Linked DNA regions of Daphnia pulex. The main gene of each other region encodes a partner of the protein of the gene in region 2 in a complex. Links are inferred from orthologs where the notes say so. Each region holds a gene or a part of one and is shown on either strand. Other genes may lie near its edges. The genes, in order: cleavage and polyadenylation specificity factor 73-like, probable cleavage and polyadenylation specificity factor subunit 2 and cleavage and polyadenylation specificity factor subunit 4-like.

Region 1 (5,209 bases), on a different chromosome or scaffold from region 2:
GCCGGATCAGCACATGAGCAAGTAAAACTACTACAACATGGTCCTGCTGGATATCGATAGATTTAGATTTGTGTTCGTGTCTGGCGCCAAGTGGACAAAACTGGGCAAATCCGCTTATATAAATATGGGGGGGGCTGGAAAATATTATCATCCGGAATCGGCTCTCTCCAACGTTTTGGAAATCTCTCTCTCTCCAAAAGGCAGCCAGAGAGATGACGTATGCGTGCTATACTGTATTATTCACTTTCAATGCTGTTGACAGTTTTGTTCACTTTTTCAAAGATTTGAAATTTCCTCGAAATTTCCAATCGATTTCGAACGTTCTTTTTGATAAAAACTTTTTTTTAACTTTTAATTTCCGGATGAGCGGATGATAGTGATCTCGTGTAGAAGGACAGGTGTGTTCACATCTATACGCCGCCATGACAACCGACTGACAGTCTTCTGGCACGAGGCATCTCCGGACGGACGGACGGCCGCGTTAAAGGCAGGTGAATTCGTAATAGTGGGAAACGGAACAGGTTCCTTCTTCTCCTTGTATATACGTCTATCCAATAGAGCAGCAAGTTTATTTATATACACGTTTATTCTGTCCGGAGGGATGTGCGCCAAGGTTCGATAAAGACGGCGATGACTCTCTCAAATCGGCCAGACAAATGTTATGCAATTAGAATCAGCCGAGAAATCCGCTCGCGGAGCCTGCGGTGCGATTGCTTGCTTGCACGCAACCGTGTGTCTGTGTGCAGGTGTGGGTGTGTGTGTGCGTTTGCACTAAGAAATTATGAAGACGCTTTGATATTTAATAGGAAAAAACTACCCACACTCGACACAGCTCCCACGTTCAATTGTTTTCCGTATCAGCGAATAATGTGCTGTCACGTAGGAAATGCGTTTCAATGTCTTGTTTTTTCGCTGGATATTTTTCGCCAAAATTTATTGTCAACTGCAGGGAGACAAACGTGAACTTTATAGCTTACACACACACATGTATATGTATACCTGGCCCACATATACCGTGCTCGATGCACTGGAGGTTCATAATCGTGATTCATGAAACAATCATGTTACATGCATCCTAGTAAAACTTCATGGAAACTCGGCCCAACCTATAGCTACACCGTGTGTGTGTACGAGCTTGACGAGTTACTGCAGAAAGACCAAATGGTGAAGTTGATATAATCAAAAGTTATAAAAGGAGAATCTTCTTGACATTTCACGAACGAACAGTTTGCCGGTCGCTTTTTGGGTCTACATTTTTACCTCATCTGGGATCGCTGCTTCTTTTAGACTCCGCCACTCTTGGCAGAGACTTGAAACCATCTCGTGTGTAGCTTTCGGTGCAGGTGCTTCATTCCCACGCATAATCATCGGTTATTTATGCCACCATTTCTCAAATCGAGTAGAGTTTCACGAATTTTAAAACCCGTGGACAAAAAAGTCGAGATTGAATAGTAAAAACGCCGTCAGTCCGTTAATATCTTAAATCATCGACCCCGAAAAAATATATCAAATTCTAAATGCCATAAAACTTCACGGCGTAGATTGCATAATTAATAAATGTATACTACGTAATATTTTTATGATTTTATCAAAGTAAAAAAGGCGAAAGCGGATGTGATGTGTCAACTCGCGGAGTGGACATAAAAGTTTACCTGGCAACAGCTTGTAGACCCAAGAAAAACAAAAGACAAAATGGCTAAACGTAAAAATGACGTACAGGTCCCGGCCGAAGAAAGTGATTTATTGGTTATTAGGCCATTGTAAATATAATGTCAATTGACTTTTAATTTGTATTTGGAAAATTCACGGGTGTTTTTTATTACATTACTTTTCAGGGGAGCCGGACAAGAAGTTGGTCGATCATGTATCATGCTCGAATTCAAGGGCAAGAAAATCATGGTAAACAAACGTGTTTTTGTTGTACAGAGTTGAATCGCCATTGAATGTGGGCATTTCATTGATTATGTTTTTCATTTTCTAGCTGGATTGTGGAATTCATCCAGGTTTATCGGGAATGGATGCACTGCCTTTCGTTGATTTGATTGAAGCAGATCAAATTGACTTGTTACTCATTTCACAGTGAGTTTTGGTTTTGTTTTCTTAAGTTTTATTGTCAATAGCTAATGTACAATTGTATTTTTCAATAGTTTCCATTTGGATCACTGTGGGGCACTTCCATGGTTTTTACAGAAAACAACATTCAAGGGACGGTGCTTCATGACACATGCCACAAAAGCAATTTACCGTTGGCTGCTCTCTGATTATATTAAAGTAAGAAAAAAAGGCATTTGAGTTTTAGTCGATGCAGTGCTCACAAGTAATATTTCCAACAGGTCAGCAACATTTCCACAGATCAAATGCTCTACACAGAGGCAGATCTGGAGGCATCCATGGAAAAGATTGAAGTTATCAACTTTCACGAAGAGAAGGATGTTGGTGGAGTTCGTTTCTGGGCTTACAACGCAGGCCATGTTCTGGGCGCCGCTATGTTCATGATTGAAATTGCCGGCGTGAAAGTGCTTTACACTGGGGACTTTTCCCGACAGGAAGACAGACATTTGATGGCCGCTGAGATTCCTACTGTTCGACCCGATATCCTAATCACCGTGAGTTAAGCTTGAAGTATTTCAAGGCGAAATATGTCCATGTGATAATCTGTTTTATTCTCGAAGGAATCCACTTACGGAACTCACATCCACGAGAAGCGCGAAGATCGAGAAAGCCGTTTCACAGGTCTGATCCACGAAATTGTCAATAGAGGTGGCAGATGTCTGATCCCGGTCTTTGCACTGGGTCGAGCACAAGAATTGCTTCTCATTCTAGGTATTAGGTATTAGAAGTAATTTTTTGCATAAGAAAACTTCCAATCAGTTTTAATTGGCTTTTAGATGAATATTGGAGCCTGCATCCCGAACTTCACGAGATTCCCATCTACTATGCCTCGTCGCTTGCACAAAAGTGTATGGCCGTGTACCAGGTACTAATCAAATTCAAAATCTCGCAGCGATCGCATCAAACTTTAATTGGTTCTCTATTCTTGCAGACTTATATCAATGCCATGAACGACAAAATTCGGCGGCAGATTGCCATCAATAATCCTTTCATCTTCAAGCACATCTCTAGTCTCAAGGTACAATAATATTTGAAATAACCTGTTATAAAATGGTCCTTTATTCAACGCAATGTATTGTCATTCCCCAGGGTATCGATCAGTTCGAAGACGTTGGCCCTTGTGTAATTATGGCCTCTCCCGGTATGATGCAGAGTGGTCTATCTCGCGAACTCTTCGAAGCTTGGTGCACAGATCCTAAAAACGGTTGCATCATCGCAGGTCAGTGGAAAGAAATGTTTTAATTTTTATATAATTAGTTGTTCACGTTTATTTTTGTTGTCGTAAAAGGGTACTGTGTTGAAGGAACATTGGCAAAACATGTTTTGTCAGAACCGGAAGATATTACCAGCATGGCTGGCCAGAAGCTACCAATGAAGCTTTCAGTTGACTACATTTCATTCTCCGCTCACACTGACTACCAACAGACCAGTGAATTTATTCGTTTGCTGAAGCCACCTCATGTCGTTTTGGTTCACGGCGAGGCCAACGAGATGAACCGACTCAAAGCGGCGCTCATCCGAGAGTATGAACATGATCCAGACACTCAAATCCGTATATACAATCCACGTAACACTGCGGCAGTAGAACTCCATTTCAAGGGCGAAAAAACGGCCAAAGTAATTTAAAAAATCGTAAAAGCGATTCACCCAATGAATTTTATTCTAACGCCTTGTTGTCTAGGTGATGGGATCTCTGGCGTTTGAAAAACCAGTCGAAGGCCAAATCATTTCTGGTGTCTTGGTCAAACGAAACTTCAAATACCAAATTGTGGCGCCGTCGGATATTTCGAGTACCAACAATTTTTATTCAAGTCTTAATTTCTATAACTTTAGTACCCAATTTTTTTGAATTGCAGAATACACAGACATGACTGTAAGCAGCGTAACTCAAAGGATGGGTATCCACTACAGCGGGAATCTGCAAACGTTACAAGCTGTCCTGTCTCACGTTTCGCCTGACGTCGAAGTTATCGAGAGCGACAAAGGACTAAAAACATTTCGCCTTTTCTCTGCCATTGATGTCATTGTTGATAAAACTCTGGTTACATTAGAAGTACGCATCTTAATGATTTGTGAAGACCACTTCTTTAATGTTTAATATTTGATTTGTTTAGTGGGCGGCTGATTCTGTGAACGACATGTTCGCTGACGCAGTGCTTTCAGCTATCTTAAAGTGCGAATCTCTTCAAGGTTCGAGGACGATTGTGCTACCCACGACTGTTGATCATGCCCGCTTCAAGGTACTAAATTTTATTTGTTTGAGAATAATATCGGTCTAAACGTGTGAATTTATATAGGAATGCTTGATAGAAATGCTTCAAGATATGTTTGGAGATGATGCGGTTCCAAAAATGTTCAAAGGAGATAAATTCATTGTTACCGTTGACGGAAAAAGAGCCAATATAGATCTCACAGCATTGGTAACGTCTAAAATTACCGTTTTCTTATAAAAATCTAAATTCTTTTTTATTAAAGGAGGTGGAATGTCCTGAAGATGTTGGATTTCAACAAGTGGTTCAAACGGCTGTACTTAAATTATATCAATCTTTGGCACCAAAAGCAGAAAAAGTAAAATAACTTGTATTGATATTTAATAATGGAAGAATAAACAACTGCTAAAGTATTTTTATAATCCATCCATATATTTTTTGCATTGTTACTGGATTGTGATTTCTTAAAAATCAAAGTCTTCGCACTAATATTGCCCCGCACGAAGTAACAACCGATTAATTCATGCCCTCAAGAAGAAGAGCTACTCCTTGACCACCACCAATACAAGCCGATCCGATAGCATATTTCAGTTTGCGACGTCTAATGATAAAAGTAAAATAATTAGCATATGGTTCAACGCATCAAAGAAAATTAATTACCCCAATTCGTGAACCAAATGCGCGGTAATGCGCGAGCCGGAAGCTCCAAGAGGATGACCAAGAGCGATGGCACCACCATTGACGTTAAGGACTTCAGGATCCAAATCAAGTTCACGTTGGCAAGCAATAGTCTGAGCCGCGAAGGCTTCGTTGATTTCAACTGCACCAATATCCTTCAGCTGCAAATTAGCTTTAGCCAATACTTTACGAATGGCAGGTGCTGGTCC
Region 2 (5,326 bases):
TTTCTATTTTTAGGGAAGCCGAGATAACATGAGCATAGTATTGATTACTTTTCCAGCAGCGCCTAAACCTGTCCCAGAAGATATGGAACGCGAAAAAAAGTTCGAAGAACACATTGAAAAAAGAACGATTGGTAAGACGTCATAGCTATTTATTAATTGTGAACTTGTTAAATATTTTAAAAATGTTTTTTTGCTTTAGAAATTTTGAATGATGATCCACATGCTGAAGCCAGTCGTATTCTGCAAATTCTAAATGATGAAGATATCCCTGATCAACCACAACTCAGCGTACTCGGCTCCAAGTAAGTTGTGTGATTGGAATACTGTTCAAGTGTTGTGATGTCGTCATTGGGTGTGTCAAGTTGATGGCTTGTCGATTCCAGACAAATCTTGTTTGTGCATGATTCGTGGGTTTATTTTACAATCAGGTCAATTGGTAAACATAGATTAGTCTTACAAAAATAATTTTAACGCGCCACTCCCGCGACGTTTTTCAGGTTGTAATCCATATTTATGTGTATCCACAGACGGACCTTCATCGAGTCGGTGATTGCGAGTAAAAATGAGTCGTCGGATAAGGTATTATTAATTCGATTTAATCGTAATTGCATGGACACTTTTTTCTTACTTCCATTATTTCATTGATTGCTAGGAATGAACATCTTTGCAGAGCTGCGAGAAACCGTGGCTACAACAACTGGGTTAAAATTAGATAGTCCTCTTACCCCTCCATCTATAGTATACTGGTTAATTTTTTTAAGAACGTGGGTTTCAGGGGGTCATAATTGTATGTTTCCAAGTAGTTATAAATAAACCCTGAACAACATTAATGGTTATTATTTGGGAATTGAATAAATGAAAAAAAAAAAATAATCAATAACAAATTATGTGTGACCCCGTCCTTAATCCAAATATTGTTTAAGAGTTCGCCAAGTCCGCTAAAATTGTGTCATGTAAATTCGGTCCTCTTCATCTTTTCGTAACTACGTTCAATATTTTTCTTCTTGATTCAATTCTTTTGCGATTTGGAGAGAAAAAAAAAAACACCCAACCCGTTCATATTAGCCTTCATGTCTTTTTTTCCCAGTTAAAAGATGGAATAAACATTAACATTTATGTATTGATTCATAATAATTCCTCAAGAACAAAAATCGGCAAATGACTGTTGAAAGAACTTTACATTTTACTCGTGGGCCTCGTCATTTGTCAATAAAGACTCATCGCAATAAAGAATACCTCGGATGGTTAATTCAGGCAAAACGTCCTCAAGCATGAGGCATACAAGTTCAAGATTTTTAGCTTCCGGGTGACCGCCAACCAGAAGAGTTTTCAGTTTCTTCATCTTACTTAATGAAGCGATACCTTTATCTGTCACCAGTGGACAGTTTCGAATATCCAGATATTCCAACGTGTCACAAAATTCGCCGGAAATCCTGTCCAGGCACCAATCGTCAATACGGGGACACGACTCCAGGCTCAACCATTTGAGCTTCTCCATGTTTTCTAAAAGAAATGTCAAGGTTATGTGTTGGTTTACATTTTTTCATGAAACAGGATATTAATATACTCATGTTTTCCAATCCTTCATAGACAAGAGTCATTTTTGAACAGTCAACAGCTTCCATTTTATAAGATTCCAAGTAAAATCTGGGTAAATTCGGTATGATATCCGAATCAGGGTCTTCGACAATCCAGTCTTTATGGCCATAAAAGCGAACTTTGCCACCTCGAAAACAAATAAAATGACCAGTGGCTATTTCTGGGCCAAGAAACTCTGCTCTTTCTTTGACGTACAACTGTGATCTAACGAGCTTATCTTCCTTCCAATCACTCCACGCTTTTTTAACTCCATACGGCGAGAATTCGATCGCGTTAAGAACACTGATTACTTCAATTGCATAGTTCTTTTGACTGGAGAATAACTGAAAGACGGTTTTCTTGTTTTCAGCATACATTGCTTTGGGGAGTTCATATGTTACGCGATCCTCTTCTTCCTTCTTTTTCTCCACCTCTGCCTTGTCATTACCTAGTTTGGCAATTTGAGATATACCGGCCGTCGGTCTTGTGTTCGATGTACTGGTACATGATCTTCGGAAATGTTTAAGCGATAGCCTCAGTTGAGTTAAACGAGAATAAGACATTGCCATGGATTTATTTTTTCTAGTTACTGTACCGATAACACTCACTATACACACAGCTGGACTTTTTAACGAGTTTTTATTGTGAATTTTGTGAAAGAAATTGTCTGCTAGACGAGCAGCATTGCATGATACACTAATCTGGCCAATCCCATTTATTCTTTGAATAAAGATATCAGGCATCGTAGGATGAAACCAAGCAGACATTCCAATTTCGGTTATTGAGAATGCGATATGTTCCTACATGATTAATAGAGGAACACGTCAACAACAATCCAATTCAACTAATTTACTCATGATAAACAATCCGCAGTAGACAAATATGACGTCTATCATCAAGTTTTGCGCGCTTTCGGGCGCGCTTGACGATTCGCCACATTCGTACCTTCTCAAAGTTGACGATTTCACTTTCTTGCTGGACTGTGGATGGGATGAAAAGTGTTCAGAAGGATTTATACATGAACTAAAGAAGCATGTCAACAAAATTGATGCAGTGCTTCTATCCTATCCTGATCAGCTGCACTTGGGAGCTTTGCCATATGCAGTTGGAAAACTTGGACTAACATGTCCAGTGTATGCAACAGTTCCTGTTTACAAAATGGGTCAGATGTTTATGTACGATTGGTATCAATCCAAAGACAACATGTAAGTACATTGATTAATTCAAATTTCAATTCAAGATGACTGACATTTGTATCTATTCAGGGAAGACTTCGATCTATTCACTCTGGATGATGTTGACAATTCGTTTGACAAAGTTGTTCAGTTGAAATACAGCCAAAGTGTGCCTCTCAAAGGTATAACAAGTCCTAATATTTCATTCAAGTTTTTCATACTGAAATTACTACTTGTTTACAGGAAAGGGACAAGGATTGATCATCACACCCCTTCCAGCAGGGCACATGTTGGGAGGAACTGTGTGGAAAATAGTAAAAGATGGAGAAGAAGATATCATTTATGCTGTTGACTACAATCATAAAAAAGAACGCCACTTAAACGGTTGTGAGTTGGAGAAAATTCAGCGACCGTCTCTTCTCATTACCGATGCGTATAACACCCTTTACGCGCAACCCAGAAGGCGAAGTCGTGACGAAAAGCTCATGACCAACATTCTACAGACTCTTAGAGGAGGAGGAAACGTCCTTGTTGCTGTCGATACGGCTGGAAGAGTTCTCGAATTGGCTCATATGTTGGAGCAACTATGGAGAAATCAAGAATCTGGCTTGAGAGCCTACAGTTTGGCTCTTTTGAACAATGTGGCTTATAATGTCAACGAGTTCGCCAAGTCACAGATCGAATGGATGTCAGATAAATTAATGAAATCCTTTGAAGGGGCCAGGAATAATCCTTTTGGATTCAAGTATTCAATCTAGCATTTATAAAGTTTTAGAAGTAATATTAAAGCAAATTGTTCTTTAGATATTTGCAGCTGTGTCATACATTGCCAGAAGTCCTCCGTATTGCTGGCTCAAAAGTTGTTCTCTCAAGCTGCCCAGATCTGGAGTGTGGATTCGCCAGGGATTTATTTGCCTTATGGTGTTCTGATGCAAGAAACTCTATCATTCTAACCAGCCGGTCAGGACAAGGAACGCTGGGCCAGCGGCTACATGATCAGCGTAACTTGAAATCTGTCACGCTCGAGCTTAAACAACGAGTCAAACTAGAGGGTAAGCTAATTTGCTTTTGCGGACGCAACAAACAAATCTAATCTAGAACTCCATTAATTTTTTTTAAAGGTGCGGAATTGGAAGAATTCCGTAGAAAAGAACGCGAAAAAAATATTTTATCTGGGATAAAAATAAAAGATCAGATAGCGGCGGAGTCTAGTGAATCTGAAGACGAAGTCAAGAAAGGCCGACATGATATTGTTGTCCGGTCCGACGATAAAACGACAGGAGCAGTGCAACACTTTTTTAAAAGTTCCAAGAAACATCCTACCATGTTCCCATATTTTGAAGACAAAATCAAATTCGACGAGTATGGCGAAATTATCCGCCCGGAAGACTACGTCATTGCCGAGTCGGAAGATCACGAAATGGCCGATTATTCGGTTGAAAAGCCTAAATGGGAAGAAGAGGTATGATTTTTTGTCATTTTTAACTTCCAATGCATCGCTTTGAGTCTCATGATCATTTCTTTCGTTTAGCCGGAAGCAGAGTGCCCTACCAAGTGCATTTCTACCACAACGACCCTAGCAATCAATGCAAGCATCATGCATATTGATTTCGAAGGACGATCTGATGGTGAATCCATTATCAAACTGATTGAATCGATGAAACCGAAACGAACCATCGTCGTCAGGGGATCATCCGAATCCTGTCAAGCACTGCAAAATTTGTGTCTTTCAACCGGTAAAATTGATTTTAAGGCAGAAAATGAATATGCTAACCTAAATTTGTTGATATTTCTTTTATTAAGGATCATCTGATAATAAAGCATTTATAGCACGAAAAGGGGAAACAATAGATGCAACTATTGAAAGTCACATCTACCAAGTGAGGTTGAAAGACTCTTTACTTTCTTCACTTTCATTCGGTAAAGCCAAGGATGCTGAAGTCGCTTGGATTGATGCAAGGCTAACTTATCAAGTAAATCTTACAGTTAATCTTAAAATTGCTGGGGAAAAATAAGGAGTAATTGTTTTTCTTTCAACAGGCAGAGGACTTGAGGGACTTGGACGATAAAGAAAATAATTCGCTCCGTAAAGAACAAGCTCCGCTGTTAGAGCCTTTAGAACCTAAAGATGTAAATAATACTTTATACTTAAATAACGTAACAATTGAAAATAATTTTGAATGATTTAATCTGTTTTAGATTCCTGGCCACGAAACATCGTACATCAACGAACTAAAATTATCGGACTTTAAACAAGTACTTGTGCGTAATGGTATCTCGTCCGAGTTTATCGGTGGTGTTCTTTGGTGTTGTAACGGTAACGTTGCACTGCGTAGGGTAAGATCTAATATAATTAATAATTGTGATCAAATCATTTAACGAAATTTTATCGCTTCTACAGAATGAATCGGGTAGAGTAACTCTCGAAGGCTGTATATCCGACGACTATTATCGCGTCAGAGAACTACTTTACGAACAATACGCTATTATATAGGGTAATAAGGGTTACTTATGTCTTTTTTAAATAACATCAGTACTGATACGCATCTTGATGAAAGCTTCCATCCATCATT
Region 3 (5,243 bases), on a different chromosome or scaffold from region 2:
CCGGGCATGGGAAGATCGCGGAGGTCTCGTGGGATTCGCGGATCGTACCACGTACTGATGCCGGTCGTCACGTGATAAAAGTAAACCTGACCCTGGCCGGTTTTACGCATTTCGTAGCCATCCGGCAAATCGTTGGCCAAGGGCCGTCTCGACTGCTGTTGCTGTTGCTGCTGCTGGGTTGATGGCTGTTGTTGTTGTTGTTGCGGTTGCCGATGGCGGACAGATCGTCTTCTGAAAGACGATCCGGAAGAGTTGGACGACGACACCGCATCCAGACTGTGACTTTGTTGAACCGGAACCGCTGGATGTCGCTTATCACGTTCTCTGCTACTGTGACTGCGTCTGCTTTCTCGACCATTGCTGGCCGAAACTGAGCTGCCGCCGCTGCTGCTGGCCTGAGCCCCGCTGCTACTCTCCACGATGGGCCTGGTCCATTGACTACTTCTCGATTCCGGATTCACGTAATACCTACGGCCACTGGATGTCCTCCTTTCCTCCCAACCTGCCCATTATGAAGACATTTGTCAATAAAATTTTCAAAGTCATCAAGTTGTTGTTGTTTAATTTACCCTGCGGAAGGGGAGAGGTGACTGAAGCCGTGGCAGCTTCTTGAATGCCTGCAGGTGACGCAGGGCTGGCAACATTTCCCAGAGCGTCCACAACGGTTTGGACGACGGGAGTTGCACTGTTCTCGTGACAGCTTGACGAATTGTGCTGTTCTCTAGACAGCAAGGAAATAACTATTTGTCCCTTCACTTGATCGGTGTCGTTGGCGTTCGCGCGCGTCAAGTCAAGACGTTGATCTGAAAAACAAACAAACAAAGAGACGAAGAATTTAGAGGTGGACATTCACAAGACAGAATTATTTGGCATTACATCCTGTGTCTTTCAGGCGTTGAATGGCATTGGACATGATTCGAACACAACCAAGGAATCCGCCACCTTCCTTCTTGTGAATCTTCTTGTGGTTCCAAACACTGATGGTTATCGCATCTGACTTGCCAATGTACCTGTGGGAAAAGAGAGAAAAAACAGTCAGGCGTTGAAGAGTTGAATTGTCTGGTGGTGATGATGACTTACAGGTCAAAGTGCTGGTTCCACTTTGGGTCCAACGAAGACTTGCAGGTGTCTGTGCTGTGACATTGGCCCGATCCCTCAACACTGACTTTGGCAAATGGGTCAGGCAAACGGAACAGATCCTTCTTTGCGAGATTCTTGGCGCACAGTACTGGTGGTTTGAGAGAGACAGAAAGAGATAAACATCAATAAGACACGGTCATACCATCAAGACTTGTTATTTCATTACTAATCCTCTCCCCTCCATCTCAACCCACCCCTGGGGGCAAGAGGAAGTTTACCCTTTCTACAAAGACAGGAAACAGGGTATCAGATAAAATAAAGCCTGGAATGAGAGAAAACCAGCCCAGGAATGTTGCTTCACCGAGGAGGAATCAATGAAAATTCCGTTTGTGGCACACGATTGAAAAATTGGCCCAACATCAAAACAAAAGAGAAAATAAAAAACACTTACTTGTGAGTCGAATCTTAATGGCCCCATTTCTCCTATTGATCCCTGTGTGGGACATTGCTGGCGAACAGGCAAACTCTCCTCCCAATCGTAACACAGAACTGAGATTACACTTCAGACATCGAGAATAATAAAAAGTCACGTGCGGCTTAAACCATGCATTTAAGTAAGTCTAAATATATAACAAGAACAGAAATCCTTTGTCAAAATCAATTTGTTTTGCAGTCCAAAACGGGACTCGGTACACTTTTTAGGCAGCCATGTCAGCGAGCAATGGAAAACTGGCCCTCTAGCGGAACCACCAGGCAGCTACTGTAAATAATAAGCAGAGGCGAAACGCAATAAAATCAAAACAAGCAAACTTCTGTCTCGTGATTCTCGACCTTGTTTGTTTGTTTTGACCAAACAACGAAATTCCTTCCTCACCCTCGAATTCTCTGAAATAATTCCAAGTCTAGCGATTTACTTGAGAAATGAGAAGAATTACAGATAAGCTTATCTTTGCGGTTTTTTCGTCTAGTGAGCGGAGCTCGGCGTTCTTTCTGTAGCACTAGCAGTATTGTTCTATTAAGATAATTTTTGAAAAGACAATTGCTGATATTTCAATTCATTTGAATAGTAAACCTTTACACAAAGACACGAGTCCGAATAAGTGCAATCTGTGCAATGATGTGTAGGCCTAGATGACCGCACACAAAATCAATTGCCATCCTCATTTCTTTGCGGTACTGTTTACTAAACTTTAAAAGCTAAAAATTCCCATTACATAAAAAGCTGAATTCCGATCTACAAAATTTCTAAATTTAGTTTTGTTATGAAACGTTCTAAAAGCGTAAAAGAATATAACTAAAGATGCCGTTTAGTCTCACCTGCGGTAGCCCGGCTACCCTTCCTCTAAATTTGTGTCAAAAGCAAAATAAGCAAAAGTTGGTGTACATGTTGCTTGGTGCATGGGTAAATTAAATCGTTTTCAGCAGGAATTTTACTATAACTATTAAAATTAAAAATGGGCACCATGGATACCGTAATGGCGCCTATTGCCAATATCAAATTTGATATTGAAGTTGCCTTGGGTAAGAGAGAATCAAGATCTGATATCATCACCATATTTCAATTTGAATGAAACTAATGAACCAATATTTGTATTTATAGAGCAACAGCTGGGAGCCCAAAATCTCCCATTTCCCGGAATGGACAGTAAGTGAATTAAATGCATGTGCACATGGTTTCGACTTCTAATAATGTTTGGGTCTTTTAATTCTTCAGAATCAACGGCAATGGTGTGCACTCTATTCACTAAAGGTCAATGCCAGAGAGCAAGTTTTTGCCCATACAGACACCTCAGAGCAGACCGGACAATTGTATGTAAACATTGGCTCAGAGGACTATGCAAGAAAGGAGATCAGTGTGAATTTCTCCATGAATTTGATATGGCTAAGATGCCAGAGTGTTATTTCTACGCCAGATTCAGTGAGTTCCATATCTAGAGTTGATTTGATAAAACAGTTTTAATGTTTTTTTCTTTCTCCCAGGTGCTTGTCACAACAAAGAATGCCCTTTCTTACACATTGACCCTGAAACAAAGATCAAAGATTGCCCTTGGTATGATCGTGGTTTCTGCCGTCACGGACCGACTTGCCGACACCGTCATGTTCGACGTAATAACATTTTTATCGTTTCGTGAAAGAATCATTTTAAATATTGCTTTAATGTTTCAGGTGTGCTCTGCATGAACTACACAGCAGGCTTCTGTCCCGACGGCCCCGAATGCAAATTCGTCCAGTAAGAACAAAATAACTCGTAATATTATTGTCAGTTGGTGAAAATAACTGTGAATTTCTTTCTTAGTCCGAGATTTGAATTACCTCCACTTCCAGATGATATCAAGGGTGACAAGAGAAAGATGCCTCTAGTCTGCCATTTCTGTGGAGAAGTGGGACATAAAGCTGGTAAGAATCCTAACCTTGAATTACATAATACAAGTTTTTCGTCCCAAATTGATTTCATTTTGTTTTTCGTAGCTCAATGTCCGAAAATTCCATCAGAATCTAAGGACATTTACCGCACGCCCGCCGATGCCTCTACTCATGCAAATAACGCTTCCCAAGCCCAGAGAGATCGAACGAATTTGAGACCTTTAGATGAAGTCACCTGTTATAGAGTAAAAGAATTTATTTGTTCACATTCGCGATTTTTGAAATTACCCTTATTCACTTATCTTTTTGTTGTTAATAGTGTGGACTGCGCGGCCACTATGCAAATCGGTAAGATGAATTTATATTAATGAATTAGTCGTTTTGGGGCATTTCAATGTAATATCACTCATGCTGTAATTTTTATTTCAAACAGGTGTAACAAAGGACATCTGGCTTTCTTGAGTAACCAGCCAACAGAAGAAAGAAGTTAACGAAAATTACATTCATTTCCAACACTGTCTCTGTCCATTCAATAAATACAATTTTGAAATCTCTCTAAAAAAAAAGGAGTCAGAACACTAGTATATAATTATTTTTAGTAGTAGAACGGTTTTTGTGTGAGGAATCTTTAGATGTAGGTAGGGGCATTTGTGAGTGAGGTGGAGCAGGCAGCACATTTCTCTGCTTCTGGTGCGTTCACCAAAGTGCAATTGGAGCATTCACGTCCTCCGCGGAACAGAGGCTGGCTCTCAGGGCCCTTGTGTCTCGACTTGGAACACATGTCGCAAATTTCTCGATCGTCGGGATTCAGAAAAGTGCAAAACAGGCACTCCCATCCATTGAACTGAAAATTACCAAGGTTAAAAGGCTTTTACTCACACGCCACTAGATTTCCAAATTGTATAAATGCCATTGACTACCTTTGCAGAATTTAAATGTTGTCTAGCGGCTCTACCATTAACTTGGGCGGCTGCGGACTCTTTTGGCCTAGCTCCAACCGGTGATGATCCAGACGTGAAATATTGAGGATTGTTTGTTATTTTTGAAGGTGCAGTCTTTTCCGGCATTCGATCATAGTTTCCACCAAACATTTCTTTAACAGAAGTAGGAACGTTTCTCTCTTCTTTCAACTTGTTTACTCGATTGTCTTTCGATCTTTCGACAGTAGTGCTGCTACTCGGACAGTTATCTACGTCATCGTAGCAAAGCTGCTCCAAGCGATCAATATCCAATAGACTGTCAAACTTTGGTATGCTCTTCATCTCACGAACGAATGAGTTGTTCCAGACGTCGAAAGTTTCTGGGATGCCTTGTCCTTCAATAATCGACTTCGGTTCGAGGGATCTAGTTTGATAGTTAACAGGAATCGATGTCGGTTCTTCCACGGGAAGAGTCTTGGGCAGATAGATTTCTTTTTGTTCAGCAGAGAGAGAATAGTTGTAGGCCGGTTTCGCGTACTGCTGGTACATCATTTGAAAGGGGAAGGAACTTGGATACATTTCATGAGGTCCCAAATAAGAAGTGACAGGTGCTGGTGGATTGTAATTGTAGAGGTTTTCTTTTTGTGCGTGTTGGTACATCAAACCTCTTACGCAGTGATTAACTGATCCAACATAACTGTCGCGAAAATCAAATATGGATACCCATGAGCAGGGTCTTGGACTGACACTCAGTGCAGCATGGATCTCACAAAGAATCTGTTTTTAAAACTTGTATGTATTTAATGAAATAACAATTTTTAAATTACTCTAACTAACCTGAGATTCCACTTCTGCAAGAAGGCAGTCTCTGTGACTGAT

The links.
Region 1: probable cleavage and polyadenylation specificity factor subunit 2 (region 2) and cleavage and polyadenylation specificity factor 73-like share a complex: the UniProt entries of both Drosophila melanogaster proteins name them as parts of the cleavage and polyadenylation specificity factor (CPSF) complex. The link is inferred for Daphnia pulex from reciprocal best matches to the Drosophila melanogaster genes Cpsf100 and Cpsf73.
Region 3: probable cleavage and polyadenylation specificity factor subunit 2 (region 2) and cleavage and polyadenylation specificity factor subunit 4-like share a complex: the UniProt entries of both Drosophila melanogaster proteins name them as parts of the cleavage and polyadenylation specificity factor (CPSF) complex. The link is inferred for Daphnia pulex from reciprocal best matches to the Drosophila melanogaster genes Cpsf100 and Clp.

Annotation. Positions count from the first base shown.
Region 1 is NC_060024.1:9,772,366-9,777,574, forward strand, and holds cleavage and polyadenylation specificity factor 73-like, read left to right. Parts: upstream 1-1,625; 5' UTR 1,626-1,692; coding exon 1,693-1,760; intron 1,761-1,835; coding exon 1,836-1,899; intron 1,900-1,981; coding exon 1,982-2,079; intron 2,080-2,147; coding exon 2,148-2,271; intron 2,272-2,333; coding exon 2,334-2,606; intron 2,607-2,672; coding exon 2,673-2,823; intron 2,824-2,888; coding exon 2,889-2,977; intron 2,978-3,043; coding exon 3,044-3,130; intron 3,131-3,201; coding exon 3,202-3,331; intron 3,332-3,400; coding exon 3,401-3,729; intron 3,730-3,793; coding exon 3,794-3,902; intron 3,903-3,968; coding exon 3,969-4,165; intron 4,166-4,226; coding exon 4,227-4,352; intron 4,353-4,409; coding exon 4,410-4,532; intron 4,533-4,587; coding exon 4,588-4,689; 3' UTR 4,690-4,735; downstream 4,736-5,209. Other genes in the region: 3-ketoacyl-CoA thiolase, mitochondrial-like, read right to left, coding at 4,839-4,923, 4,983-5,209. UniProt on the Drosophila melanogaster protein: Component of the cleavage and polyadenylation specificity factor (CPSF) complex that plays a key role in pre-mRNA 3'-end formation, recognizing the AAUAAA signal sequence and interacting with poly(A) polymerase and other factors to bring about cleavage and poly(A) addition.
Region 2 is NC_060028.1:937,298-942,623, reverse strand, and holds the start of probable cleavage and polyadenylation specificity factor subunit 2, read left to right. Parts: upstream 1-2,324; 5' UTR 2,325-2,460; coding exon 2,461-2,783; intron 2,784-2,843; coding exon 2,844-2,935; intron 2,936-2,996; coding exon 2,997-3,498; intron 3,499-3,557; coding exon 3,558-3,805; intron 3,806-3,874; coding exon 3,875-4,215; intron 4,216-4,284; coding exon 4,285-4,489; intron 4,490-4,556; coding exon 4,557-4,726; intron 4,727-4,793; coding exon 4,794-4,883; intron 4,884-4,952; coding exon 4,953-5,090; intron 5,091-5,154; coding exon 5,155-5,247; 3' UTR 5,248-5,326. Other genes in the region: signal recognition particle 54 kDa protein-like, read left to right, coding at 14-131, 200-302, 528-579, 653-658; distal membrane-arm assembly complex protein 2-like, read right to left, coding at 1,184-1,503, 1,568-2,147. UniProt on the Drosophila melanogaster protein: Component of the cleavage and polyadenylation specificity factor (CPSF) complex that plays a key role in pre-mRNA 3'-end formation, recognizing the AAUAAA signal sequence and interacting with poly(A) polymerase and other factors to bring about cleavage and poly(A) addition.
Region 3 is NC_060027.1:2,524,479-2,529,721, forward strand, and holds cleavage and polyadenylation specificity factor subunit 4-like, read left to right. Parts: upstream 1-1,883; 5' UTR 1,884-2,534; coding exon 2,535-2,601; intron 2,602-2,680; coding exon 2,681-2,725; intron 2,726-2,794; coding exon 2,795-2,998; intron 2,999-3,060; coding exon 3,061-3,186; intron 3,187-3,246; coding exon 3,247-3,310; intron 3,311-3,376; coding exon 3,377-3,477; intron 3,478-3,549; coding exon 3,550-3,689; intron 3,690-3,763; coding exon 3,764-3,792; intron 3,793-3,833; exon of another isoform or gene 3,834-3,877; coding exon 3,878-3,935; 3' UTR 3,936-4,010; downstream 4,011-5,243. Other genes in the region: E3 ubiquitin-protein ligase SMURF1-like, read right to left, coding at 1-502, 570-803, 877-1,010, 1,081-1,228, 1,532-1,586; uncharacterized protein LOC124207999, read right to left, coding at 4,073-4,288, 4,365-5,141, 5,202-5,243. UniProt on the Drosophila melanogaster protein: Component of the cleavage and polyadenylation specificity factor (CPSF) complex that plays a key role in pre-mRNA 3'-end formation, recognizing the AAUAAA signal sequence and interacting with poly(A) polymerase and other factors to bring about cleavage and poly(A) addition.